2 linked regions of the Cricetulus griseus genome follow. Each later gene encodes a partner of the first gene's protein in a complex. Links are inferred from orthologs where the notes say so. Each region holds a gene or a part of one and is shown in the gene's direction. Other genes may lie near its edges. The genes, in order: Alk and Alkal2.

Region 1 (4,336 bases):
AGAACAGCTCCGCGGTTCAGACGTGCTAGACTCCTAGGAATGCTTTCAAATAACGGAAGTGTAGGAGGGACAAGATTCCCTTTCAAGGCCCCAAGACAAGCTGTTCTTGGATCTTGCAGGGTGACTCTACCCCTCCTGGTTTTCTTTTGCCTCCAGTTTTATTTCGGAACCTGCTCTTCTGAAGTCGGACATATTTAATCTGTTAAATGCATAATTAGAGAGAATGCTTGGTTGCAAAGATCATTTCCAGTTTTCCCATTTATCCAAAATACTCTCTTGTTCGCACAGCGGAGAAATAGGGCAGACGATCCGGAGGAAGGAATAAGAAGCAACAGCGGGAGGCGGGGCGGGCTTGGTGCTTTTCTCAATGAATACCGAGGCCTCTGCAGATTTGCATAGGAGCGGACCTCGCAGCACCATTGGTTGGCAGGCAAGGGAGGGGGCGGGTCTGGCATGCGTGGGCTGGGCAGCTGCGCTGAGTTCGCTCAGGAGTCCCGCCTCCACTGAGGCCCCGCCCCCTCTCGGCGCGCGCTCGCGGCTCCGCCAGCTGCAAGTGGCGGGCGCCCAGGCAGATGCAATCCAGCGGCTTTGGGGGCGGCGGCGGCAGTGGCAGCTGGCACCTCCCGCTGCTTCTGCCCAGGGGGTCTCCGGGCAGCGAAACGCCTTCCGGCCGCCCCCTGGCCAGTCAACAAAACCGCGGGCGCTGCTGGTAGGTGAGGAGGGGGCTAGATTGCGGACTCCCCTGCCTGAAATGCTTTTACTCCGTGGCTGCGGCCGGGTCTGCTCTGGTGCCTGGGAGTGAACTCCGAGGAGCCAAAAACGTTGGTGACAGCAAGGACGCCGCAAACTTGCGCGGAGGCAGTAGGAGCCTCTTCTCCGCAACGCAGAGCTTGCGTTCACGCCCAGAAGTTCAGCGGGCAGGGTGATCCAAAGACTTCCTGCAGCGGAGGTCACTTGAGAGGGCGCTAGAAAGCAGCCCCCTCCGGTGGTCCTTGCCTAGACCTGGGAAGGAGATCAGAGGAAGTGACAGGAGCGGAGGACGTGGGCAAGACAGTGACCAGCCCGGAGCCAAGGTTCTCAGCCTGGAAAGTTGCGGTACATTGGAGGCTGCGAGGAGAGATTTGGTCACTGAGATCTCCTAGAACGGTACCTAATTGCCACCTCCCTTCAGTGATAGTTTCTCTGGTCCTAGAGCGAAGGCTGCTACAATCAGGCGCACAGCACTCCTAGCAGACTGCGAGAGGCTCAGGGTCTAGCTGTTGACTCCAGCGTGTCTCACGGTCTCCGGACTCGTCCCTGACTTCCAGATCGGTTTTGCTAAGAACGCTTCTTGCCTACTTGCTTACTTGGGGGAAAGCAGAAGAATTGAGCCCACTCACAATCCCTGAGATCAAGAGAAAGGGGCTGTTCAGGATCAAGGACTGTTTGGAACCCCTTCCTGTGGTGGAGAGAGTGAAGGGCTAGGCTGGGCCAGCGAGGGAAGGGACACTAGTATAAACTCTAGCCTTCCAGCGGGATGGGAGCCCTTGGACTCCTGTGGCTGTTGTCGCTGCTGCTTTTGGCAGCAGCCTCGGACTCCGGAGCTGCAACGGATCAGCGCTCGGGTTTCCTGGCCGCAGGGCCGCCTCTGCAGCCCCGGGAGCCACTCAGTTACTCGCGTCTGCAGAGGAAGAGTCTGGCGGTGGACTTCGTGGTTCCCTCTCTCTTCCGCGTCTATGCCCGAGACCTGCTGCTGCCACAGCCGCCGTCCCCCTCGGAGCCCGGGGCTAGTGGGCTGGAGGCACGGGGATCACTGGCTCTGGACTGCGCTCCTCTGCTCAGGCTTCTGGGGCCGCCGCCTGGGGTCTCCTGGGCAGACGCAGCCAGTTCGCCCAGTCCCGAGGTGGGTTCTACGCTGTCCAGGGTGCTGAAGGGAGGCTCTGTGCGCAAGCTCAGGCGTGCCAAACAGCTAGTGCTGGAGCTGGGTGAAGAGGCGATCCTTGAAGGCTGCATTGGACCCCCAGAGGAGGCAACGGCTGTGGGAATACTCCAGTTCAACCTCAGCGAGCTGTTCAGTTGGTGGATTCACCACGGCGAAGGGCGGCTGAGGATCCGCCTGATGCCTGAGAAGAAGGCATCGGAAGTGGGCAGGGAGGGAAGGCTATCCACTGCGATCCGAGCGTCCCAGCCCCGCCTTCTCTTCCAGATCTTTGGTACCGGTGAGCAGCTCCCACCAGAGTGTGTTGGGATTTGCATTTTAGTTACACCAACTTGGAGCCACTATTAACTAACCCATACCCTTCTTAGACTTTTTTCATCATTCTTGAAATTAGACCCGTGGCTTTTTTTTTTTTTTTTCTTTTCTATGAGCTTGAGCATAATCACTTCCCAATATATCGGTTTTTCTTCTTTAGCAATCAAGTTGGGAGAAAAGTTTCAGTGTTGATAGAATGCCTCCCACCGACTTAGACATGACCCAATTGTATCGTAATTGGATGTCCTCCTTCCTTGTCTCTGAGAATGGTTGAAATGCTCCCATAACTCCTAAATTCCAAGTTCTAACAAGGCCTCAAACTGTTGCCCTCTCTTTTGAACTCTTGTTCCTCTTTTAGGCCACCACCAATTTGGGGAATGTGGGTAGAGTTTCCCAGAGAATATAGAATTCCTCTTTATCTTGAGTCTCAACCAGCCTCCCAACCCTGGCCCTCCACCCCAGTACTGGCTAGCCCAGAGGTTCCCTCCTCCTTAATTATTCATTCTGCCATACCAGAATCCCCCAACCCCCGTCTGTTTTGCACTATCAGCCTGTCACTCTTCTCACATGTCCTGGCAAAATCCCAGGGGAACTAAGGAACAAGAGGCAGGAGATTTGTGGAGAAAGGAATAAAAATGGTTGAAGTTGCCTTGATTTGGGAGAGAAGCAATAATTGTCTATTGCTTTTCTCCCCCACCCCCTTTGTTTTCCCTGGGAGTCTTATCCTGCATGTATGTAGCAGCTGCTCTAGATGACAGTCTCTGGCGGGCTGATTTCACTGCTGGAGGCTCCTGGAATGAGGTTTCTGTTTTGTTTACTCCCACATTCATCAAGTTAAGGCTGTGTGTGCAAGCACACACTTCTAACTCTTTCACTAGTGTCTTTTGAATGGCAAACCAGGTGGTTTTGAATGAATGTTTTTCTCATAGGACCATGGGGGAAGGACTTGTGAATGAATGAAATATTCAATGTAAATGATGAGAAAAGTCACAGAAAGAGAAATTGTGTTTTTTTTTAAAGAAGCCCACACTGATTCCATTGAGCAAAACTAGCTTCTTTTCTATCATTCTCATCATCAGAAATAAATGAAGTTCTTATGCTCCACTGGTTACTAATATTTAGTATTAATTGGATGGAAAGCATTGAATGGCGCCCATTGTGGAGGTACAATTTCTCCCATGCTTGCACACACACACACACCACTTCCACTACACTCAGTGCTCTCTCGTAGCAGAGCTACCAAGAAGCTGAGGGTCCCTGTCATTGCATAGAAACTACTGGCATGCGGTCCTCAAGGAAATCAGAGTGTGGGTCTGTATCTCAGCACTGGCATTGGTGACATCGGTAACACTTAAAACAACCCTTTATGATCAGTGCTGGGGTTTATATTGTGCCTAGTGAAAGGCAGGGTCTGATGAGCTTGGCAGTGCCTTCAGTGAAATGAGAGAATGAAACTGTTGTCCCACTAAGGAGACTTTTGTAAAGAACATCTGGCCTGTAATGGCATTGTGGCTTCTGTGGTTTATATATGCAACATTCTCTTTTAGTGTCCGATGCTTCTGTAATGAATGTACAAATGACTCTCTGGAAAGACAAATTTTCATTCACTTTCATGTCTTTGAGCATTGCTGGAGCTTCTGCATCACTTCTTGTGATATGACCATAAGCCCCAACCATCTGTATCAACTGTTATCACATGTTGATGGCTGGCAAAGGGGTTATTTTCCAGCCCTGAACCTGCCAACTATAGACAGGCTGCAAAGAAACTATCAGTGGATGTCTCACATAATGCATTTGAAGAACATACTGCTGTAGTTGAGCCCCATGTGAAATCAAACCATGCTTAGGGGAAGTTTCATGTAGAAAGGGGTGTCTCTCAATAGCTGTTCTGCTACTGGCTGCAGGAAAGCAGTGAACATCCAAGCTCTGTCCCAGGAGTGCAGTCCATTTGGCAGCTGGGCCAACCCTTATGTATCCTTTGACACATATAGAAATGCTGGCTTCAGAAAGAGCCAGGAGTCTGCCATTAAAAGGCTAGAAATTTTGGCCAAGCATTTTAGGCAAGATTGGGATCAAATGGTTATTGATGGGATCAAATAAGAC
Region 2 (4,421 bases), about 22 Mb from region 1:
CAAGGCACTGCATCTTCACAACAGCTTGAGCAGCTGCGGGTTAAAGATCCAGGCTTTTAATGCTTGAGTTCTCCCTTTCTGACGCTGTACTAAGAACACCTTTCCCGATGTGATCGCTGACTTGGAGGACGTCCAGCTCCTGCCCAGAAAGCACCAATGAAATGGGAAACTGTGCAGTTGGTAATACTTATCGCAAGAAAAAAAAAAAAATCAAGCAAGTAAATTGCTGTGCCCTTGCAAATGTGCCTGGCTAGATCCAACAGATCCAACTTTCTTAAAGATGCACCTTGAGTGGTAAGAGCTCTGGAGCCGACTCGTGGACCAGCAGTGTCCCTACTCCAAGGACCTTGCAGGTTGCTTAGGTCCCTCCAAGTGCAAGGCGTTCCCCATCATCTTCTTCAGACCCTGAAACCTGCCTGTGGCCAGGCAGATCCCTCCTCGGAAAAGTCCAGACTCTGGATGACACTCAATGTCGAGGCAATCAAGCAGCTCCTTTTAAATAGCCCAAGATCTACATTTAGACAAAAACAGATTCCAGTTCCCGGTAAAGGCATTTCTGCTCATCCTGTCACTTGTGACAGGAACGGAGGGAAACAGACTGCCGGAGAGAGAGACAGGAGAGGCAGAGGAAGGACGAGAGAGGGGGAGACCAGACGCGGGTGGAGACGTGAGGGAGGGGCGGAGACTGAAGACTGGGCCGGGAGGGGACGGGGGAGGGGATGAGAGCGCGAGAGGCGGAGGGGCCTGACGAATATCCGCGCCCCGGAGCAGCGCTCGGTGGTTCTAATTAAAGCAGCGCTCGGAACCCGGGGGACCCGCCTGACGTCGGCGGCCGCGGGGATAAGAAGCGCCCGAGGACAGCGGGACTTGGAGCAGCAGGGTCGGCGCTGTCCCCGCAGGAGCTGTGCGTCCTGTGTCCCTGCGCTGGACAAGTGGAGCTGGAGCTCATAAGTAGTGTCGGAACTGGGGGACGGAGGAGCGCCGCAGGCGCAGAACCTACCGTGTGGGCTCAGGTGCCCGAGGGCAACGTGGGATCCACCGCGTGGTCGCAGGTGCCTGAGGGCAGTGCGGGACCCACAGCTGGCAGGTGCCCTGGCCTCTCAACTCCAGGGTGGCCCAACTGCTCCGCAGCTCCAGACGTGAGGCCGGGCTACACCTGTGGCCTCCTATCTCTAAGAAGTGTCCAAGACCCCGCGCGCGGTTCCCGCGGTGCAAGAAAGTTGTGCGGCGCGGTCTCTGCGCGGACTCCGCGTGCGGGAAACTTGGACTCCGGCTAGTGGGGCGGCGGGTCCCAAGACCCGCGACGCAGGCCACCGGGGCAATGCGCGTGTCAGGGCGCCCGCTGGTCCTTGTGCTGCTACTGCTGAGCATGGTGGGGGACCGGGGACGCGCGCAGCCCCGCGAGCCTGCAGACAGGCAGACGCTGCTGAGGTTGCTAGTTGAGCTGGTCCAGGAGCTGAAGAAATTCCACACGGGAGACAAGAGACTGCAGCTCCTTGGCGAGTCCGACTTTGCCCTGGGCGGCAGAGAGGCCACGGATTATGGGGCAGACCCAGAGGAGCAGAGAGTGGGTGAGTGTTCCTCAGTGTAGACACGAAGGACTCAGTGGGTGAGAGCTCAGCAGTGTAGACCATAATATGACATAGAGTAAGGGAGGGTTCTGGCAGGGTAGGCTTGAAAGGCAAAAAGTAATTAGTGAGTGTCTGGCAGTGTAGAGCTATGAAGATAGAGTGTGGAAGAGAGAGCCCTAGTCTGAGGAACAGAGTGGGTGAGTGTCCAGCAGCTTAGACCACAAAGTACAGAAAGTTAATGAGATTGAGCTGTGGCAGTATGGACCAGTGGGGTGGAGAGTGGATGAGGATCCGGGCAGTGTAGACCAAGAAGAACAGGAAGTATCTTAGTAGTGTAGACCTGAGGGGCAGAGAGTAGGTGACTGCTGAGTGTCTAACAGTTCCAATCTACTTGGTATAGAGTGAATGATTGTTCAATAATATGGACCACGGGGAAGAGAGTAGGCGAGGTCCTGGCAATGTAGACCTGATAGACAGGAGTGAGTGAAAGTGAGTCTTGGCAATATGGACCTGAGAAACCAAGATGCCTGAGTGTCCCTCAGTGTAGACCTTAAGGAAAAAGAATGAGTGAGATCCCGTCAGTGTGGACCGTGAAAGAGTTCTAGCCACAGTGTGTACTGAGGAGCAAAAAGTGGGTATTGGCAGTGTGGATGAAAGGGCTACCTATCTGAAAGACACATTATATTAGTATTTTCTTAAATAGAATTTTTTAGAAGCAGTTTTAAAGATGAATCCATTTTTAAAATTTTAACTAAGGGTTTTTTGTGTTTGTTTTGTTTTTTATTGTTTCTCAAGAAAAAGAAACTAGCAGAAACAGGAGACTGTGTGAGAGCCTCCAAAATAACAATCCCAATTCACTTCTAAGATATGCTGGTGCCCAGTTCAGAATACTCTGCTCTTCTCAGGGGAAGGTTCCCAGCCCACCATTTCCAGCAGAGGAAGAAATGGCCAGAGCTTCCCTGGTGGAGCCCTTCCCAGAGTGGCCCATGGGAATTTCTCAGGGAAGCATGCAAGCTTTTAATGCTTTCATGACAGAATTAGGTCAAATATGAGAGGGTCACTTTTGTGTAAACTGACTCAAGTAAGGAGTCCATGAAGAAAGGCTTTAGGGAATAGTCTCCACCTCCCTCATGAAAGGCTCAATGTCAGTGTCTCTCTTCGGCTATTAAGAAAGAGAAGACTAGTATTTCTGGTAAAATAAAATGTGACATTTCACAATCATAAGAGAAGTTATTGGCCTCATGTGGGTCAGAGACTTAGAAAATGATTACAGAGACTGAAAATAAAGCAAAAACAATATCCAAACTCAGGGGAAAACAAACAAACGGGGAACCATCATGAGGGACCAGGTGCCAATGAAAAGCATGATTATGAGTTGGTGTTTAAAATTCTTTCCTTGGAGACCCTACTTTCCTTATAAATCAAGGTGATGTACATTCCCATCTGTTTATACTAGCCTCACTATCAGAGTCATAAAGAAATTAAAACATCACCTACAATGTATACTGTTCAAAAACACACTTTTTTTGTTTTGAAGATTCAGGTTTATTTCTAGAATTTTTAAATGCTGTGGAATTTGATTTCAAAGTTCTTTGAAGTGTTTACAAGTGGTTCATCCATTGGAACCTATCCAAAACCATTTTTTTTCCAAACCTGTAACTTTATGGCCTGTAACGCTTATCATATCCAGAGAAAATAGACTGGTAATATTGGAGTTTTATGAGTAGTTAATGCTGCTTGAGAAAAACCATGCTGATCTAAGTATCCACATTCTATTATGTGCAACTACCAAGTGTTGTCCTAGTCTAGCCAATGCCTTGTAGTATAGATAATGGGATTCTCAAAAATTTCCTCCACATTCACTTAAGATCACACTTAACAGGTGCGTTGTTCAAGTAATACGATTTCTCACCCCTCATAGAGATTGTTCCTCGAGATCTAAGGATGAAGGACAAGTTTCTGAAACATCTCACAGGTGTGTGTTCCCTTCGCTCCTCCGCCCTCCCTGCTCCTTTTTTGCCCTGAGTCTTTGTGACTTTCTTCCTCTGTGTTCCAGGTCCTCTTTATTTCAGTCCGAAGTGCAGCAAGCACTTTCACAGACTTTACCACAACACGAGAGACTGCACCATCCCTGCATGTAAGTGAGCACCCAATAGGCAAATGGCGCTCCACTCTTTCTTTTCAGTGCAGCAGGTCTGCTTTTTGACAGGTGCGGGGGCCTGAGTGTCCTTACCTGACTGGATTGGGGCAGGGTGCCTAGACATTGGAGCAGATGGCTTAAACTCTGTAACAACCAATCCCACTGGAAAGTATTTACCTCATGATAACCCACTGGACGTAATCAACTCTTGCAATGGACTGAACCCTTCCTTTCATTCACATTCTCGTTTTGTTTATGAATTCCAGCACAACGTCCATATTCTATTCCAATGGACATCACACAGATTAGGTGTGACATGCTCAGGTGTCTGCTGGTGGTCAAAGTGTTGGGGTATAAACAGTCTGGTTGGCCTGAAATTTCCCTGTAAAACTTTTTTTGACTACCTCCACTGCTCTGACCAGTGCTGTTTTCTTTCCATGAGTAATAAAACCCTCATCACCCAAGGTTTTGTTTGTTTGGTTGGTTTGGTTTTGGTTTTGGTTTTGGTTTTGGTTTTGGTTTTGAAGACAGGGTTTCTCTGTGTAGCCCTCACTGTACTGGAACTTGCTCTGTAGACCAGGCTGGTCTTGAACTCACAGAGATCTGCCTGCCTCTGCCTCCTGAGTGCTGGGATTAAAGGCAAGCACCACCAATGACCAGCCACCCAAGAATTTTATTTGCTATTCCAAATGCTGCTCTTCTGGCTGTTC

The links.
Region 2: the proteins of Alk (region 1) and Alkal2 are in contact, whole or in part, in a cryo-EM structure (PDB 9G5I), measured with the Homo sapiens proteins. The link is inferred for Cricetulus griseus from reciprocal best matches to the Homo sapiens genes ALK and ALKAL2. Residues at the interface, in NP_004295.2 of Homo sapiens: Leu684, Tyr739, His755, Ser758, Leu760, Phe856, His857, Glu859, Leu965, Tyr966, Thr967, Pro968, Leu970, Lys971, Val972, Met973, Glu974, Glu978, Asn980, Val992, Glu994, Cys995, His996, Met997, Phe1007, Asp1009; in NP_001002919.2 of Homo sapiens: Ser112, Lys113, His114, His116, Arg117, Leu118, His120, Asn121, Thr122, Arg123, Asp124, Arg133, Arg136, Leu137, Arg140, Leu141.

The regions. Positions count from the first base shown.
Region 1 is NC_048600.1:10,992,248-10,996,583, forward strand, and holds the start of Alk (ALK tyrosine kinase receptor), read left to right. Parts: upstream 1-1,516; coding exon 1,517-2,198; intron 2,199-4,336. UniProt on the Homo sapiens protein: Neuronal receptor tyrosine kinase that is essentially and transiently expressed in specific regions of the central and peripheral nervous systems and plays an important role in the genesis and differentiation of the nervous system.
Region 2 is NC_048600.1:32,865,771-32,870,191, forward strand, and holds the start of Alkal2 (ALK and LTK ligand 2), read left to right. Parts: upstream 1-1,321; coding exon 1,322-1,571; intron 1,572-3,492; coding exon 3,493-3,546; intron 3,547-3,627; coding exon 3,628-3,708; intron 3,709-4,421. UniProt on the Homo sapiens protein: Cytokine that acts as a physiological ligand for receptor tyrosine kinases LTK and ALK, leading to their activation. Cytokine-binding is sufficient to activate LTK. In contrast, ALKAL2-driven activation of ALK is coupled with heparin-binding to ALK.